Linked DNA regions of Mus musculus. The protein of the gene in region 1 purifies or fractionates together with the protein of each later gene. This does not show direct contact. Links are inferred from orthologs where the notes say so. Each region holds a gene or a part of one and is shown on either strand. Other genes may lie near its edges.

The links. The genes of interacting proteins can lie anywhere in the genome.
Region 2: the proteins of Myo6 (region 1) and Lrch3 purify together in Homo sapiens (co-immunoprecipitation; 3 studies listed by BioGRID and IntAct, with this or other methods). This does not show direct contact. The link is inferred for Mus musculus from reciprocal best matches to the Homo sapiens genes MYO6 and LRCH3.

What each region holds. Positions count from the first base shown.
Region 1 is NC_000075.6:80,160,492-80,170,719, forward strand, and holds the start of Myo6 (unconventional myosin-VI), read left to right. Parts: upstream 1-4,542; 5' UTR 4,543-4,738; intron 4,739-10,228. UniProt on the Homo sapiens protein: Myosins are actin-based motor molecules with ATPase activity. Unconventional myosins serve in intracellular movements. Myosin 6 is a reverse-direction motor protein that moves towards the minus-end of actin filaments.
Region 2 is NC_000082.6:32,972,241-32,982,368, forward strand, and holds part of Lrch3 (DISP complex protein LRCH3), read left to right. Parts: intron 1-1,639; coding exon 1,640-1,733; intron 1,734-3,488; coding exon 3,489-3,609; intron 3,610-7,155; coding exon 7,156-7,304; intron 7,305-9,587; coding exon 9,588-9,664; intron 9,665-10,128. UniProt on the Homo sapiens protein: As part of the DISP complex, may regulate the association of septins with actin and thereby regulate the actin cytoskeleton.

The DNA.
Region 1 (10,228 bases):
ATAAAAAATTGCATATGGTTAGGAGGGGGATGCTCATGGCATTCCCATGGATGATATCTATAGATCTTTAGGTGGAGAATTTCTGAGGTATGAGCCAAGTATGCTTAGTGGTAAAGGCACTTGTCATTAAGCCTGGGGAGATGAGTCTGAGAGAGAATCAACTCCCACAAGTTGTTCTCTGATCTTTCACATGTGCGAGTGCACACACACACACACACACACACACACACACACACATGCACACAAATAAATAAACAAAAGTAATAAAAAAAGAAAGGAAAACAAATGAAAGAATTTCTGGGATAGCCTCTGCCATCCATGCTGGGATATATCATGGTTGGTAGAGGGCCTGCCAAGCAGGCACCAGGCTCTGGGGTTTGTCCCCAGGAGAACAGGCACCAGGCTCTGGGGCTCGTCCCCAGGACTGTGTAAACCACAGTGTCTGTGATCTTAACAGTCTAGGAGATAGGGGTAGAAGGAGAAATCTCAGAAGTCTCCATAGTAATCACATAACACAAGTATGAAGTTGCCAAAGACTTAATTAAATTTTAAAAAGAAAGTTAAAGAACAGCCTCAGCTATAAGCACGTCCCAGGCCTGCCTGTGATATATGGGACCCTGTTTTAGAAAAGAGGAGGGACTGTGGAGGGTCAAATCGAGCTGTAGACTTAGGGCATGTAAGTATGGACTGGGGTTGGGTCACAGAGACAGAGTTACTTCCATTATGCTTGATGATAACATATGCAGTTTCCAGAATCATCATCTGTCCATCTTTCCTCTTTATTCATAATAACACCAATGCTAGGCACTATTTATTTATTTAGCATTAAGTACGTTACCACTGAGCTATATCTTGGGCCCTGTAGGCACTTCTTAACGAAAAAGCTACTGTGCTCCACACTTGAAATCCAAAGGATAGTCTATTGTGCCCTCAAAGAGTGTACAGGCTAACTAGAGAATACACAAAAGAACACATAGGTGGCCAGAGTACAATATGCATTATAAGAGATATTTGTACAGTAGATGTTAAGTGAAGGATGGGGACAGAACTGAATTATGCCTAGGATTTACCATCAGGGCGGGTAGGGAAAATTCTTAGAGAGGACAAGCAGGCTTTGTTTTGAAGGAATAATTGGGTTTAGCCTGGCTGTGCTCCAGTGTAGTAAATAGCATAGAGTGTGTGTTTGGGGACACAAAAGCCCTTCAGAATGACTTGAATGTAAAGTACGAGACATGGAGGAAGGCTGTGGGTAGAAATGAGATTGGGCAGCTAAGCATGGAGAAGACAGCGATTCCCAGGACAGATACCTGGTGGCTCAGCTTGTCGGCTTGAACACAGTGGTGAACTGTGGGATCACATGACCATCGAAGAGCCCAAAAAAAAGATAGAAAGAAGGAATAATCCACTAGACTAATTGAACAAGAACAACCAGTTCGTGAAAGACGGTTAGATTCAGGATCTTACCAGGTGTTTTAGGACTGATGTAACTCAGTTTTGCTGGGCTTGCCTAGCATTCGTCAACCCACAGAGCCAGTCTCTAAGCGTGTAAGGGTCCAGGGGGAGGTATCTTAAGGGGTAGCCCACAAACCCAGTCTCCATGTGGGTAAGGGTCCAGGGGAAGGTATCTTAAGGGGTAACTCACAGAGCCAGTCTCCAAGTAGGTAAGGGTCCAGGAGAAGAGGAATCTTAAGGGGTTTGGACTTTCTACTGAGGATAGTGGAGAACCACTCACTTGGATTTCTAACTATGGACTAGTGGTTATGATTATCTAAGATCTGTAGTGATGGTGGCCCAGAAAATGGTAACAGTCGGAGGTAGAAAGAAGAAATGGGCAGAGAGATATGAGGCTAGAAGTAAAGAGATGAAACAGATTAAAGCAGGGACAAAGGGTAAGACTCATGGATGTCATTAGTTACAAAAAGCAACTGTAAATAAAACACCTTCTACTGACTTACAAACAGATTATCTTTATGTCAAATTCAAACTTAAGTAAGGTATGTATTAAAAATATGTAGCGATCTTCATTTTTCCTTTAAAGAAATTTATCATTATTAATTATTATCATTACTATTATTATTCTACCTACTTCATGTGTAGGGCGTTGTGCTTGTACATATGTCTGTGTACCACAGGAATGCAGTGCTTGATGAAGCCAGAATAAGCCTATGAGATTTCCCCCTGGAGCTGGATTTAAAAGCTCTTATGAGCTACTATGTACTCATAACTGCTGAGCCATCTCTTCAGCACCATGATCTTCATTTTAAAAAGCCAATTATTTCTGCGTACCTGCAATATATTTGGGTAGGAGCCCTATGTTAGGCATTGTCTTAGTCTGCTTTGTATTACTATGATATAACACCACCCAAAGCCAGTTTAGGGTTTATTTCAACTCTCAATCCATCACAGGAACTCAAAACAGGAACCTGAAAGCAGGAACTGTTGCAGAGGTAAAGGAGAATTCCTACTTACTGGCCTATTCATCCTGGCTTGTTCAGTTTGCTTTCTTATATTCCCTGGGACCACCTGCCCAGGAATGACACTTTTCACAGTGTACTGGGTCCTTCCATTAATTAATTCCATCAATTATCAATCAACCAAGAAAATGTCCCATAAGCTTGCCTACAGGGTAATTTGATGGGGGATTTTTAAAAACTAAAGTTCCCTTTCAGACGACTCTAACTTGCATGAAGTTTTGCCAAACAAAACAAAACAAACCCACATAAAACAAAGCAAAACAGATAAAAAACCTAACCAACACAAGCATCTTCTTCAGTCTTTCATCCTCTTATTTTTTGTAGTGGGGTCTCAGTGAGTCCAGAGCTCTCCTTTTCTGCTAGAATGGCTGGCCAGGGTGAGCCAATGGTGAGCCAAGGGTTCTGCTTGCCCTCTATCCCCCTCTCTCACCTTAGTACTGGAATTTGAGAAATAAGTCTGCCCCTGGTTTTAGTTTATTTTACAATCTTTGATATAGTTGAGATTTTTCTTTTGGCAATCTTGGAGCTACATTTCTGTGGTTGCTGTAAATTACTTCCTTTCTTGGTTTTCCTTCCTCTTTTTTAGTTTCCCTAATTTTACTTACTGTCTTACGAATTTGAAATGTGTTCAGTGGAAGGTAGCTTTTTCATCAAGTCATTTGGGTCGTCTCTGAATGCCTGACCCTTCCCTTACCATTTTTTTGTGGTGATATGGATTGAACCCAGGGCCTCACATGCTAGGCAAGTATTCTACCGTGGACTTAGTTATAGCCCATCTCTCTCTGAAACAGGATATTACTAACTGACCATGCTGGTCTTGAACATGCAGCTTCCCGAGTAGCTAGAATTACAAGCACGAGGCACCAGGTCCAGTTTGAATTCCTGAAACCTGTCTTCTCTGGGAATCTTCTAGACAGAGCCCAGTGGTCAGAGTACAATATGAGGAGTTGTTTCTCTCCTTGAAACATGCTGGGCTTCAGGATGGGCTGCAAGAACCCTCACTGGCTGAACTATCTTGCCAGCCCCTTATTTTGTTTTCATATTAACCTCTTTTTTCTAGTAAAGGAGATGTTTGCTCTCAAATTTGCATAGGAATGTAATATTTAATTTAAAAAGATGACCCACATATGACCTTATAAGGACAGTAAAATTAAACAACCGGAAAGATAAAGCGGGCCAGTTGGCTCAGTTCTATAAAACCAGCCCACAAGGATTGTCACTATTCTTAGGCTTGCGCGGGCTACATGATGAGTTCCAGGACTGCCTGGTTACAGACCGAGACTCTCTCAAGAGTCCAGATAAACAACAACAAAGGGGGCGAGGTGGAAATACAGGGGCTGTAAGAAGTAAATATGATATCTGCATGGGAGGCTAGCCAGAGAAGAAAAAATTTTCTTCCGTGGTTCAATCCTCCAAGGGCTGAACAGGAAGTTGACGCAGGCAGGTGAGGAGCACGAGCCTAGATGGGCTGCGGTGCCACCCTTAATCCCCACAAGCGAGTTCCTCCGCAATTCGCCTGTCCCACTCTCAACTTTTCTTCAACTGACTCTTTGCTGTGGTCCCTCGCTGTGGCAGTGGAAACAACTACCACTGCGAGGTAGGGAATGTCATGAGGGGCTACCTGCAGCCCTTGGCTTGCAGGGATGCAGGGATGCGGTCGGAACCTGAGGCCCCGCCCTTCTCTTGCCCCACGCCATTAGGCCACGCCCCTACCCAGCACTCCTTCAACCACCCCCTTCCCCGGCGCCTCATGAGGTCCCGCCCCTCTCAACCCTAGCTCTTGAGGCCTCCCCTTCACAGCCGCCCCGGCGTTCCTTGACTTGAGGCCACGTCCCTCTGCTCCTTCATTCCCAAGACCCTACGCTTTGCGAGTCCTCCCTGTCCTGCTGCCTAGGACCCCGCCCCTCTCAGCCCTTCTGCCCCAAGACCCCGCCCCTTAGGCTGTTCCCGCCCACTGGCCAATGAAGACCCGCCCTTTCTTTAGCCGCCCCGCCCCGGTCCCACAAAATCCCGCCTCCGGCCCCGCCTCCCGCCCCCTTGGGCGCTCCGTAGCAGTGACGTGCGCAGGCTGGGCACTCTGCAGGGCTCTCTGGCCGGCGGGTGGAGACCGATCCGGGATCTGTCCCAGCAGGAAGCGTATCCCGGCCGCCGTCGTGCTGTCGTCTCCGGTGCTCGCTCTCGGCCGCGGTGTCGCGCTTGCCCTTCGCGCCCGCAGCCCGGCAGCCTCTCCACGGCCGCGACCCCTCGCGCACCTGCCTCGCCGGGTGAGTGTGGGCGCCTGCCCGCCTGCCTGTCCTCACCGCCTTGGCCTCTGCTCTGCCCGGCGCGGACTGGAGCTCTGGCTTCCCCTTCCCGGGCCAGCGGGGCTCCTGTCACCTGACGAGTCCCACCCGACACTGCAAGATAGTTTTATTTTCTCCTTTCGAAACACAGTGAAAAAGCTACACAGTCTAGTTTGTTGTCAGAGTAAAGATCAATTGATACCATTAATAATTTAGCTGTGTCGAAGAAGACCATGGTAGCATACTATAAAGCTGGAATTTTAGTTCCTAAGCGTTCTAGTATTTTGAGTGTGAGTTTTACGGATGTGTTGCTGAAAATAACTTTGTTATTTAATTCCAAATCGTCTTAAACTAATTAAAACGTGCTAGCTGTGGATTGTATTTTAAAATAGGAAATAATTTGATAAGGCCATTCTTAGATAATCTATGTCAGGAACTTTTACACAAAGATACATTTTATCCGGCATAAAGTATGTAGGGCAGAGCTGTTTAAATCCCAATGTGGAGATACTGCTGGAGCGCTACACAAACGCTGCTCCGATTTCATATGTGTTGAATAAAACTTTAGTTTGCTCTCGTGTTACAGTTGCAGGATTTTCGAATATAGTTAGTCAGCTTGAGACTTTTAACAGCCTTTGAGGCTCGGCTGTAACACCATAAAATCTGAGTCTTGAGCTTGGTGGTGGTCATGGTCCAAAGGTTGGCTGCGGAACAGCAGCATTTCTGTACAAATTAACTCGACTTCAAGACATCTTGGCTTGTGGTTTTCCAACTGGGAAATGTTTAGTGAAAAAAAAATTACCTTAGTGCTCTCTAGCATTAATTTTAGAAATGGCCACAAATGCTACAAGGGGGACAGAGGAAGCCCAGAAACAATGTAGTTCTTCAGAACAGCTCATTGACTTTTAAATGTCTGCCCATTTTCTGTGTTTGCAGTTGCACAGGAGTAAACAGGCACAGTGATAAATAGAAGTCATTTTAGTCTGATGCTCGTCGGCCTGTAGTGTTTTTATTTCGTGTGTGTGATCTGTTACCCATTTTTTTCCCTCTTCCTTTCAAGTTTTGTATTTGTTTTCAAAAGTTACTTGTAAAAGGCAGGGACAGAATACAACCCTTAAGAAAAGAGTATTGCGATTATACAGTTAAAAAGCCGTGGAGTATAGATTTTACATATGGTCTTTAGTACCTAGACACATGAGCAAGAAAAAGTGAACAACTATGATTTTTCATAGAAGCTACAACATATTAAAAACAAAGATGCAAATTATAGTCCATGGGACTTGTCCGAAAGGGATTTTCCCTTGTTTACACGATCAAATTTTAAAATAACAGTGGCCAGGAAATCGGAGAGAAGCCGAAGGCTCCTCGCTCATCCTGTTGTGACTTTGCCTGGCGTCTGTGGTGGATCACTTATTGTTTAGACAACTGGACTGTATCTGGGTTTTGAAAGGCCTTTAGATGGTTTTAAAGATTTCCACCATGCAAGGTCTGAATAAATCCATAAGAACTCCACATAAAAAACCATTCTCTAGTTTTTAACTTTCTCTTGGTATTCAAAACTCCACTTAGGGTACAGGATTGGGAGTGTAACTCAGTGGGTAAAGACCTTGCCTTGTGTGTGTGTGTGCGCGCGCGTGTGTGTGTGTGTGTGTGTGTGTGTGTGTGTGTGTGTGTGTGAGGCCCTGGGTACTGGAGTTTCATTTATATTATTATATATATTATATTAGAACATCTTATTTAAACATTGCAATTTGAAAAACACATTGCAATTTGAATAAATCTCACACAGTATAATGGTGATTCCCAGAAAGAGATACTTTGTTAACAGTTTATGAGCTGGCGATTTAGTAGTGATGTGACACACAAAAAAAACCCCTAAAGGTTTGATTTACAAAATAATATTCCAGGTTGACAGCCTTTCCTTTTATAGAGGAGAAAACAGAGGCTCAGAGAATGAATACTTGCTTGTAGCTTTGGAGGGGCAAAGTCCAGACTCTGAGTACACATGGAAGTCTCTGACAACAAAGCCTCTCTCCTCCTTTGCCCAGAAGTTGTCTTGATTTCGGTTTACTTGGTGAACTATTGAGAGCCCTTTGTAGGCCTGATCTGGAGATTAGGAGTCGGTACCCTAGGTAAACTGTGATAGGCCATGCATGGAGTCTAGAACGAACTGAGAATTCTGTCTTCTTTCTCAAGGCCTTGAGCAGTGACCCAATGCTTTGGCATCACGTCTGGAGTGGTTCCAGCATGTATTAAGTATTATGTGCTTTTCATTTTGATGGGTTTATAGGAATTAACACTGCAATCTAATCCTGGATTGATTTCATTGTAGCTGAGCAGTATATGATGTTTCTGGTCAGGATGGAACTTTGGTTTTTGTCCTTCAAATGAGCTAGATTGTTGCTCTTTAATACAGTAGCTGTCTTTTAAATGTTATTCAATTAGCTTTAACCTTAGGAGGGAAACATGCTTCAAGATTAAGATATCTAGGCCTGGGAGATGCTTAGCAGGTAAAAACACTTGTCTGGAACCCTGATGACCTTAGTTGGATACCTGGGTCTCAAGGAAACAACTTCTGTGAATTTGTCCTCTGACTACCCCACATAGGCCTTGGCATATAGCTATGAACAAATAGTTGTGCTTTAAGAAATAAAAAATAGTGGTGGTGGCGCACGCCTTTAATCCCAGCCCTTGGGAGGCAGAGGCAGGCTGATTTCTGAGTTCGAGGTCAGCCTGGTCTACAGAGTGAGTTCCAGGGCTATACAGAGAAACCCTGTCTCGAAAAAAAAAAAAAAAAAAAAGATTAAGACATCCGCCTACCTCTACCTCTTGAGTGCCAGAGCTTGCAGCTCTGCCCTTGCGTATGCAGTACAGGGAATGAAACCTGGTTCTGTGCTAGGTAGGCAGTTCATCAGGGGAACTATATCTTTAGCCTAGGACAGTTTGTTTGTTTGTTTGTTTATTGTGTGTATATAACTTGTGTGTGACCACACATGGCATATCTGTGAAAGTCAGAGGACAGTTTTGTGGAGTCAATTTTTGCCAAACTCAGGTCATCCTGTTGGCCTGGCAAGTGATTTTTTGTTTTGTTTTCAATCTGCTGAGCCATCTTGCTACCCCCCCCCCTCCCTGCTTTTTTGGGATAGGGTCTCACTATGTAGTGCAACCCTGACTGGTCCAGAACTCACAACCTGGCTGTCCTCTAACCCACAGGGTTACATTTACTTCTGTCTCTTGAGTGCTGGAATTAAAGGCATATACTACCACACCCAGCTTATACAGTGTGTTTTAATCAAAATGGTTCATGGCTTCTCAAAGAAAATTTACTTTATTAATTATTTACTTGTGTGTGTGTGTGTGCACATATGCATGTGTGCACATAAATATGAATGCCTGAAGAGGCCAGAAAAGGGTACCACACCCCATTTATCTTGAGCTATGGTTGGTTGTGAGCTGCTTGACTTGGGTGCTGGGAACCAAACTTGGGTCTTCTAGAAGAACAAGTGCTCTTAACCTGTGAGCTATCTCTCTAGCTCTCTCCTCTCTAGTGCTCTCTCTCTCTCTCTCTCTCTGTATATATATATATATATATGTGTGTGTGTGTGTGTGTGTGTGTGTGTGTGTGTGTATAAACTCAAGCTTCATGAGTATCCCTGAGCTGTAATTCACCTAATGGAATGAAATGGCAGAGCCCTTTTGGATAGATGTGTAGAAAAACACAGGGAAGGCTGAGCAGGGCCCACCTGGATAGGGATTTTTCTTATTGGAACTGCTAAGAGTTTGTATCCAAGGCTATTCATATTCTAATGTAAGTGAATAAAAAACCATCCAATGACTTAAATATGAATCATTAGCATTTGACTGTAACATGCTTTGTTTTTTCTTTCGGGAAGAGGTGAGAGTACAGATAATTGACAACTGATCCTAGTTAAATGACTTAAAAGTTCTGTTTTTTGAGGCTTTAGGTAATGTTTAGAAGTACCGAGATTTTTTGTGTTTACAGTAATATGCTTTTATTTGTTAGTTTTTTTTTAGTGGGCTGATGACCTTAAAGCATAAATATTAGTAAGCAATAACATAAAATTTTGAGAAATCACCACAAATCCACCAAAATTTTCTTTGTGAGTACTGAAGCCTAGGAAATAAAACCCAAAGCACAGCTGGGCGGTGGTGGCGCACACCTTTAATCCCAGCACTCGGGAGGCAGAGGCAGGCGGGTTTCTGAGTTCAAGGCCAGCCTGGTCTACAGAGTGAGTTCCAGGACAGCCAGGGCTACACAGAGAAACCCTGTCTCGAAAACAAACAACAACAACAAACCCCAAAGAATCCAACAACAAACAAAACAAAACAGAAACCCAAAGCGCAACTCTGGCATGTTTAGAAGTCTCGCTGGTGTTAAAAAGAGAGGAGATAATTGGCTGTGCAGAAGGCATGCGTCTGGTGAAACCAAAACACCGAAGCACATTCCTTCAGTGTATATTCATGCAGGGCGAACACGAGCACTCATGCTGACTAATGTGACCAGGGAAGCTCCCGGCAAAAACACAGGCATCTTTTGTGTGTGTGTGTTACATCACTTGTTATTGTGTTTGAAAGTACCCAGTGGTTGGAGAGATGGTTCATCAGTTAAGGGCACTTGTTCTTCCGGAAGACCAGAATTCCACTACCAGCATCCTTGTTGGGTGGCTTACGACCACCTGCAAATTCATCTCCAGGGGATTTAGTGTCTTCTAACCATTGCAGATATCCATACATGCCTAGCATGTACTCACACAGACACATACAAATAAATAAAAATATACATTTTTATTTTTAAATCAGCTGATTAACCCTTACCAGGTGAGCTCTTTGGTGTGGCAGAGTTTTTGTTATAATGGGGCTCTTTGGATCTGGGGATTAGCCGAGATTGTCAGGTATATAGGAAGATGGTTTGAAATGGAACATGTAAAATCTACACTGAGGTTCAGAGGCATGGGATTCAGTGGTATAGTCTTGTAGTTCAAGTACACGGGAGCCTGATGAAGCACAAAGATTGAACTCAGGCCATTGCAGCTAATTTGGGAAATAAGACAAGATCCCATCTTTAAAAAACAAAAACAAAAACAAAAAACAAATTAAAACCTCAAAAACAAAACAAACAAACAAACAAACAAAAATACCCTCCACCCCCAATGAGGTTTGAAATGTAGCTTAGTTGGCAGAGCCCTTGCCTGGGTTGTATGGAGTCCTGGGTTTGACCAGCACTGTATAAAGCTGGGTGTGGTAGCACCTGTCTGTAATGCCAACACTCAGGAGATAGAGGCAGGCAGGTCCCTTTGAGTCTCAGACTCGCCTTGGCCTTGTGAGATCCTTTCTTATCCCTCTCTCTCATTTCCCAGGTTAAAATCTGAAGGCGTTTATGTCAAAAGTGAATATCTTCCTTTCATATGTATGTATATGTGTGTGTGTGTGTGTGTGTGTGTATATATATAT
Region 2 (10,128 bases), on another chromosome or scaffold:
CATCAGAAGAAAATGTTAGCAGCCATGGCCTGGGAAACTATTTGTAAAGCAACCTGCATCCAGATGTACAACTAATACCTGCAACTTAGTAATAAAAAAACCCAATGAGAAATGAGCTTGAAAGGACTCTTCAGAAAGAGATTTATATGGTCAGTACATACACAACAAAGTACTCAATATTGTTATTGATCACAGGAATGCAAATTAAGACTAGATATCCATACAGAGCCACAGTTGAAGAAAAGTGACATAGCAAAAGTGAGGCTGTAGAGCAGCCAGGGTGCTCAGGCACTGTTTACAGAAGTGCAGGAGCAGAGCTTTCAGACAAACAGTAACCTCTACCAGGTGGAGTGGGTAGTTCTGTGAGTTTGGGGAACTAGCTACTCATTAGCCACTGGCACAGCCAGCATGCACGACAATTCCATTTCCCCGCACTCCCTGCCCCCAGCTAAGCCAGTTCTCTTTTCTACCACAAGACCCAGCAGACAGCTGACTGCTTCTGACAGTCGGTTTGGCCTGTCTCAGGGTCTTCCATGAGTCAGGATGTGGCATCTTGCACTGCTGATGCTTAGTAAAAGATCTGAGATTCTTTGATGGTTATATGTTCCTTAGTAACTGTTACTCAAGTTTCCGTACCCATTTAAGACCTAAACACCTCAGAGCAGTCGTTTACCCTAACAACAATAACAAGGTGACCAGAATTAACTACATAGAAGTGTATGAGAACAGTTCTGGCAAATAGAAATGTCTTCTGTTGTGATAGAATTACAAAGATACAGTATTTTGTTAAGATTATACTCCTAATATTTAAATATATGTAAATTTTATTTGGAAGAATATTATTAAAGATAAAAACAAGCCAGGTGTGTTGGCACACAAATTTAATCCAGTACTCAGGGGCAGCAGCACATGGATCTTTGTGAGTTCTGGCTCATCTTTGTCTACATTATGAGTTCCAGGACATCCAAGGTGAGATAGTGAACCCTATCTCAAAACAGCACAAAATTTAAAGAGTAGCTAGCACCAGTGCTGTCCATTGGCAGAGAAAGAACACTGCCAAACTTACCCGGGGAAGTCAGGATTTCACTACTGCCAAAGCCAGATAAGGATGATGTTTGTGTGAGGACCGACCTGCATTTGCATGTGTGTGAAAGCTAGCATCATTGTGTGTGAAAGAGGATCATGAGAGTGGAGGAAGAGATCTTAAGGAAATGGAAAGAGAGGGCAGTGGAAGACCTGTGCTGAAAAGCAGAAAGGGAGAAAGAAAACAGCTAGAAGGGAGGGAGGGAGGGAGATGAACCCATGGCGACAAAGTGTGCTGGCACCAAGTATGAGAGGCTGTTAGGAGAAATCCACTGCTTGGTAAGATGGCATTAAAACTGAGTGCAGTGAAAACAAAGTTGAGCAGTGGTACTTTTCAAACTGGATACTGAGTTTGGGGCCTCGTACTATTCTGTTTACTTTGTTCCTATTTGGGATTTTCTTCTTTAAAAGTTCAGAGAATGCTCACTTAGCTCAAATATTTATGTGGCCAAGTGTCATGAGCGTGTTGGTTAATAAAATTATAACTGGTTAATTTCAAATGCTACTTTGAAAAATATAAAACCTCATAGTAACATGTAACACTTATTTTGGACAGCCATGAAGAACTGTACTCAGGCCGTCCTTACGGAGCCCTGGATTCAGGCTTCAATAGTGTGGATAGTGGTGATAAGAGATGGTCAGGGAATGAGGTAAGTGTTCTGTTCATGTGTTAAAAATCCTGATTTTGAAAAATAAATTAAATTAAGGGGAATATCTAAATTGGAATTCAATTTATTAGGTAAAATAGAGAAATGTCAAAGAGCAAAAACCCTACATAGTCCTACCACCTGGGAATTCTACACTGTTTCTTTTAAAAGCACCTTTTGCCATGTATCCTCTTTCAGATTTGTTACCCAGTCTTATGCACAGATATTCTGGAAAGCTGAGTAGGAAGTGAGGTGGTTAAAGCTGAAGCCTAGTGGCTGTGGTAACACATTTCTATAACCCTAGCTAGCTCTCAGGAGGCTGAGGCAGGAGGACCATGGTTTGAAGATAGCCTGGCCTATGCAGTAAGTTCCAGAACAGCTTGCACTGCATAGCAACTGTCTCAACCCCATGAGAAGCCCTGACATCCATGTGAGGGCCAGGGTGGTCTGCGGCGGAGATGGTGATAGAATGGGTGTGCTGGAGGCTGGGAAAGTGCGCAGGACTGGACACTGATGGGTGAGGAAGGGGAACCTGAGCTTTAAGTGACAGCTCAAAAGTGGAGTCCTCTCCAGCAGGCACTGGCTGGAGCCCCACAGAAGGTGGCACAGCTCAGTGAGTTCATTCACATGCCACAAATTGCATGGGTTCTTGTTTTGATTAATTAATTCTATTAGAGTTTCCAATGAAATCCATTGCTTTGTAAAATTACTAGGATATATTTTAACTACCAATTAAAGGACTACACGTTTGCTAGAGGTGCTGATAACAGCCATTTTATAACACTGTGTCATTGAGATTCCAGACAGAAGCCTGGTGAGTAGCACAGTGCCTTGAATGCCTTCAATCTCAGTGTCAGGAGGCAGTGGCAGGTGGATCTCTGTGAGTTCAAGGCTAACCAGGACTATATAAGTCCAGGCCAACCAGAGCTACATAGTGAGACCCTGTCAAACCTAAATAAGTAAATAAATTAAATAAATAGTAAGTCAAAACAAAATTAGATCAAAACTTGAAATTTGTAGTTAGCTATATATGTATGTATGCATGTATGTATGTATGTGTCTTAGTCAGAGTTTCTATGCCTGCACAAACATCATGACCAAGAAGCAAGTTGGGGAGGAAAGGGTTTATTCAGCTTCCACTTCCACATTGCTGTTGATCACCAAGGAAGTCAGGACTGGAACTCAAGCAGGTCAGGAAGCAGGAGCTGATGCAGAGGCCATGGAGGGATGTTCTTTACTGGCTTGCCTCCCCTGGCTTGCTCAGCCTGCTCTCTTATGGAACCCAAGACTGCCAGCCCAGAGATGGTCCCACCCACAAGGGGCCTTTCCTCCTTGATCACTAACTGAGAAAATGCCTTACAGTTGGATCTCATGGAGGCATTTCTTCAACTGAAGCTCCTTTCTCTATGATAACTCCAGCTGTGAAAAGTTGACATAAAACTAGCCAGTATAGTATGTATTGGTGACTATCTTTTTGAATATTGCAATGTGTGTATATATACATAGATATTTTAAACCTATGTATATATTTGCTTACAGTTCTGAATATCCTTCTATTTTTGTTAATTGTGGTAAGGTTTGCCTATTTAAAGTACATATTTCAGTTGCATTAATTGTGTTCATAGAATTATACAATATTCTCTATTAATTTCTAAAACTTTTGCTTTTTCTTCTCCTATGTAGATTACAGTTTATATTCCTGTACTGTATGTTATCTAAAATTGGAAATGATGGTTTTTAATGTTTCTGCTTTTTAAGCCTACAGATGAATTTTCGGATCTGCCTCTTCGAGTGGCAGAGATTACCAAAGAGCAAAGACTGCGGAGAGAAAGCCAGTACCAGGAGAATCGCAGCAGTGTGGCGGTCACAAATGGTGGAGGTACACACGATTCTGATGACATTTAAAGCCTTCATGTGTGCCTTGTTATATAACAGGCTCTCCCTATAACCCTGGCTGCCCTCAAACCCCTTATGTAGCCAAGGATGGCCAGTCTTCTCCCAGCCCTGGGGGTACAGTTGTATCCCACCACACCTGGTTTTGTGGTGCTGAGAATTGAACCCAGGGCCGTGTGGGCCAGAGACAAGGACTTTACAACACAGCCCAGCTCCCACCTGAACTTTTTTGTTTTGATTTAAGGGAGTTTATTGTGGCTTAGGGTTCTAGAGGGATCCTGTCCCTCCTGATGAGGAGAGCTCGGCAGTAGACCACCATCAGTAGACTGGCAGTAGACTGGAAAGGCATGGCGACAGAAGTAGGAAGTTGCTGGTCTCCTTACCGTTTTTGAAGTGGTCTTTGTCACACCCACTCTTTAGTTTGCTTCTCTGTAGATCCTTCACCCTTCTGAAGACTTCTGTTTATATATGACCAAAAAAAAGTTTACCATTCAGATAAAATTCACTTTCTCTGTATTTTCAATTTATAATTTCTCTTTCATGTTTATTTGAGGGGAAACTTTAGGAAGAATAGATCTTTGTTCATCTTGATCTTACTACAGTCTTCTGAAGTAACATTGTCTCTTTTTAAGATTTTCCATTTTAAAGAGATTTCTTGAGCTCTTTTAGCAATCAATTGTGTTTGCTTGTATTTATTTTTAGCTTTTTGAAATAGTTATCTATTTATTATCAAGGGGTGTGCCACCACAGGTGTGGTGAGGGTAGGGACAACTTGCTCTCTCTTTCCACCTTGCAGGTCACAGGGATCAAATTCAGGTCATCAGGCATGGCAGCAAGTGTTTTTGCCTGCTCAGTCAGTTAGCTAACACTGTTTAAAACTGAGTTTTCACCCCAATATCCAGGCTGACCTCAAACTCCTGGATTCTAGTAACCTTACATCAGCCTCCTGAGCAGCTGGGGCCACAGGTGCCTGCCAGCATGCCCGTCTTCCTGCATAGCGTAGTGTTTCCTGTAGTGTTCTCTGGGGCTTCTGAATCTTATTCTAACACTTAGAACTTAGTAGTTTTAAATTAATAGAGTTCTGTCTGCTTCAATGTACTGCTGAAACAGGTTTTAGAATTGTACTCTATATTCTTTTAATTTGAGTTTTAAAGCCACATGTTGGCATTTTGAGGGCCAGTGCTGAGGGAGAAATTACATAGATTTTGTAGAAATGCATATGTTTTTGGAAGCGCTTCCATTTCTAACGATGTCAGTTACAGTTGTGATTTTGTCCTCTCTGGCTTACGTTCTTCTTTATTCCTTCACTTACATTCCATTCATATTTTAGTAGTTGTATTTTAGGTTTTGTTCTTACGTGAGTTATCTGTAGCACATTTCATTGAAGACTCAGGTCTGTGTCCACTACCCCATGTGGGTACTGAGTAGCTGAGATGCAGCCTCTGGAAGCTGGGGGGATTGCGTCAGTAGATCAAATGCTTGCTGAGATAAAATGGGGGCAGCGTTTTATCCCAAGCATCCTCATAAACGGCAGGCCTGGCAGCACACATCTGCAGTCCTAGCGCTTGGTGGGCAGAGACTGGCAGGTCCCTGATGCTTGCTGGCACCCACTTTAACCAAAGTCTTGAGCTCCGGAGTCCATGAAAAACTTCTGTTTCAAAAAATAAAGTTATGGACAAGTGAGGTGGCTCATTGGGTGAAGATGCTGTAACAGTTTTTCTGACTTGAATTTCATCCCTGAAACTCACATGACGGAAGGAAAAAAGCAGTTGCTGCAGATTCCCCCTGACATCTACACATGTGCCATGGCATACATGCCCCTGCCTCCATAAGAAATGTGACATCTGTTCTGCTGCATAGCATACATGCTCTCATCTCCACGTGTATGTCATGACATATGTGCCCCCTAAATAATAAATATGACCTCCACCTGTATGGCATGCATATGCGCCCCCCTGTAAAAAAATGTAAAAGGGAAAAAAAAAAGATCATTAGCTAAACTAAAACTAAAGTGGCTAACAGTGAAAACACCTGACATCAGCCTCTCCCCTCCACATGGACACACATGCACCTGTCATCACACGCACACTTGCATACATGCACACAGCACAGATAAACCCCACATACAAAGTTTAAAAGATGAAATGTGGCTTTTCTGAACTGAACTATAACTACAAAATCTTCATCAAATTTTGACTGTGCTGATCTGGATAGTATGAAAACCTGATGGTACTTTCTTAAGAAATAGTCTTAATATATAAACTATATTTTAGATGGAAAAATGTTTGATCTTAATAGACTTGTAGCACAAATTTCAAGTTAATAGCTGCAGTTCAGTTCAATTCAGTGTCCTGGCACAGGGGAACAGCATAAAGCAGTGGTTGAGGGTCAGTGCATGCTTGGGAAACGTCTTCACAGCGAGGTCTTTCCTAGAGCTCCATTTTACCTAGCTGTTGAAGTCCTTAGCTTCCGCTTAAGAAGGACGGCTAGCCAGAAGCTTGCCAGATGCAACAATTACATGGCCATATCTTTAGTTGCCTCCCTTTCCTCTACAGTATCTTTTTTAGTGGAATAGACATTTTGTTTAACAAGTTATATATTTTCCAGTCAGTAATTGAGTTTTTTATAAAGAATCTTGAGAAGAGAAAATTCCTCAGATGATTCCCTTTCACTACAAATTGCTTCAGAATATCTAACATACTGACCTCTAGCAAGTAATTTTCTAAATAGGGAAATCTTTGTTCTCTTTTTTTTTTTTAGTTTGAGCCACAGGAAGGGAAACAGTCAATAAGTTTCTTTTTCTCCAACTCCAGTTTCTTCTTCTCCTGGGTCTTTTTTGTTGTCTTCCACTTCCCTTTGAGTTAACTTACATTTTCTGAAACACAAACTCATGAGAAGATGGTACAGCCATCATTCTTCGCACACATGACACAGAGAAGAGCAACCATCTTCTCTGTCTCAGACTCAGGCTATCCTGCTTAAAACACCAGAGCCATCCAGAGAAAATAAATGCCAAGGGTGTATACTTCAGTGGCTTACCCTTACTTACCCTTGTTGTTGTATTCTTTAGTATATTTGGACTAAGGTTTTACAAGAGATGATTTTTGTGATGAGCCATAGACTAAATAATAAAGACATTGAAACATCATTCTTTCTGCATACAGAACAGACACAAGAGAAAGGGAAAATGTAATTTCTTTTAATATTTATCTTATGTATATGAGTACACTGTAGCTGTCTTCAGACACAGCAGCAGAAGAGGGCATCAGGTCCCATTACAGATGGTTGTGAGCCACCACGTGGTTGCTGAGAATTGAACTCAGGTCCTCTGAAAGAGCAGTCAGTGCTCTCAACCACTGAGCCATCTCTCCAGCTCCAGGAGAATGCAATTTAAGCAAATGTTTTTATTAGCTGTTTAATTTTGAATCTCTCTCTCTCTCTCTCTCTCTCTCTCTCTCTCTCTCTCTCTCTGTGTGTGTGTGTGTGTGTGTGTGTGTGTGTGTGTGTGTGTGTGTGTGTGTGCTGTGTACAGTGGAGCATGATCTGGATCAGATTGACTACATTGACAGCTGTACTACAGAAGAAGAAGAAAACGACGTGAAACAACCCAAAAGCCTGGACACGAACAGTCTCAGCTCACAGTTTATGGCATATATTGAACAACGGAGAATCTCACATGAGGTAGCAGTGTACCCTTTTACCCTTTCTAGACTGAGAACAGTTGGTGATGGTAGAGATCCTTGTCCTATCAGTGATTTATTGGTTTGGGCCTAATTGTTTCATTTTTCCCTTATTGTTTTATCCCTGGAGTTTTCAGATTTAATTTGGAAAAGTCAGAGAGTAGTCTCAAAAATGATTCCAGTTTTATTCCTCAGATAAGCGGGCAGATTTCATTCTTTTGAAGAGACAGTGAAAGGAGATCTGAGCGTGACCTCAGGCCTCTGAAGGAAGTACACGGGATAGGATACTTCTCGTTGCTAGGTAGTTTTGCTTTCTGGTTGGTCTTTTTTGCTTAACTCTTTTGCTTTTTTATTATTGCTAATTATAAGCCTTAATATGATAGATAATTAAACCAAAGTTGACTTTTGAGGAAACATTCGACTTACCCATAGAATATTATAAGTTTAATTATGCTGGTGCTTTTATCCTGAGTTAACAGAATATAAACTGTTTGCTATTAAAATTCTTGGTGTCTCTTATAATGAAGCATTGAATTGCCTAAAAAACAAGTAAGCATTCAGGCCACTGTAGAGTCTCTGCCAATTCCTCAAAGGTCTCAAGTAGAATAGCATTCTTCAATCTATCTAGTCAGCATAGTAAAATGGTTTCATTTTAGTGTTGTGTTGATGTCTGGAGTTTGTCCCAGGCCCTGAGCAGGGGTTGTTTGAGAAACACTAGGGGCCTTTTTGGAAAACGATGTATTTAACTTTTAGAAATCAGGGATCAGCTGCTTCAAGTGGAGGGTGGTGTGGAGTAATAGCCTTCCTTAAAAGAAGCCTTTGGTTCCTGTTGAACACAGTGGGGTTTGTTGCAGTTCAGAAGATACTTGTTTCTAAAATCAGATAAAATCAAACCCTGTAGCCAAGAGATAATGATAGACCAATGATTGACAAAACTGCCTTGTGGTTTAAGCTGTCAGTCTCTCTGCTGGAGCCAAGAGTTTCTTTCTAATAAAATTTAGACTAATAATACTGCATAATACTCTTTAGAGAAATCCCTTTTCTTCTTCTGTCCTCTTTTTCTTTCTTTTTTATTAGATACTTTCTTCATTTACATTTCAAATACTATCCCCAAAGTCCCCTATACCCCCCCCTCTTTTTCTTTAATGACTTTAAAATGCTTTAGGTTGTCTAAGTGAGGTGTCTCTGCAGATGCTGCTTACTGCCTCCTGAGACCTGTTGGAGTCACTTCTTCCCTTCACATTGTAGAGGCTCCTTGCAGTGTTTCTAAACTCCTAACTACCTCGTGTGTGTGGTAGCCATGTGGTTCTATGGAATAAGACTCTTGGTATTTTTGTGTCATATATCTTTCAAAAATTGAGTGTTTGTGGAAGTATAGCGAAGGGGTTAGTTTAAGTTAACAACCTGTGAAGTTGACGCTGATGAAGTACCTCAGCAGGTGCAGTTAGGCCTGTAAGTAGATGGTTTCTGAGGATCCTTTTTGTTGGTTTTTTTGAGACAGGGTCTCTCTACAGAGCCCTGGCAGTCCTACAACTCACTCTGTAGACTAGGCTGGCCTCACAGAGATCTGCCTGCCTCTGCCTCCCGAGTGCCCACCACCTCCCCGGTCTCAAAAGTCCTTCTTATTCTGAAAATATCACTCTGCTTAATCACTAATTTATATACTACAGTGAGATGAGAACCTTGTAAGCAAAACACACAGTTATAGATTGTGCATATTCTTATTTATCAAAGCCTAGGTAATACCACTTACAGTTGTGTTTTGTGTGTGTGTGTGTGTGTGTGTGTGTGTGTGTGTGTGTTTACATCAGCACACATACCACAGTGTGTACAACATGGAGGTCTGAAGACAATTTTGTGGAATTGTTTTTTTTCATTCAGCATTTTTTTTTTAGGCTCTGGAGATCAAACTCAGGTTGTGGGGTTTGCACAGAAAGTGCGTTTTTACACATCGGTGTTTACACGCTGGCCCACCTCACCAGCCCTTGTTTTGTTTTGTGTTTTGAGATAAGAGTCTTGCTATGTCACTCAGGCTGTGCTCAAACACGTCATTCTTTGCCTCAGCTTCCTGAGCCTGAGTTACAGCCACCATCACACCTGCTAGCCTGGGTGCTCTGAAACACTAAGCTCACAGAGGAAAAGCCTACCAAAGTCATTTTTAATGTATAATTTCCTAAATGTTAAACTAGTTGAATATGTAATTGCTGCATTTTAATATATTATGCATGTTAATTACTGACTACTTTTTCTTTTCTTTTTCTTTCTTTTTTTTGGGGGGGTCTAGGTTTCACCAGTAAAGCCAATAGCCGTTAGAGAGTTTCAAAAAACAGAAGACATGAAAAGATACTCACATCAAAACAGGTTTGAAAAAGCAATTCAGCTTAATTCTTTCTTTCTTCAAACTTAGTAATAAGTGAATTGATTTTATTTTGTGCAAATCCAAATATAATGAAGATATTTGGCTTATGTGAACCTTAAAGGCTATTTTAAACTAGATCAGTCTGCCTTTGTTCTAACACCATCTTTAAAAAGAGTGAAATTACTTGGTTCCAAATCCAGTGTTTATTCAAGCATAGAAAATGGAAAGATTTTCAGAAACCCTGTATTTACTTCTTCCTTCTACATAGACAGTCTTTCCACCATGCTTAAGGTCTCCCTTCCTCTAAACCAGCTCAATGCTGTTTTCATTGTAGAATTCCAAAATGATTCTGCTATAAACTGCATCACAGTAGTTAATTTTTTTGTCTTTGATCTTTGTGAATGAAATCTTTAAAAAAAAATTAGTAGATTTGATATATCTGGGGTTTTTTTGTTTATTTGTTTTT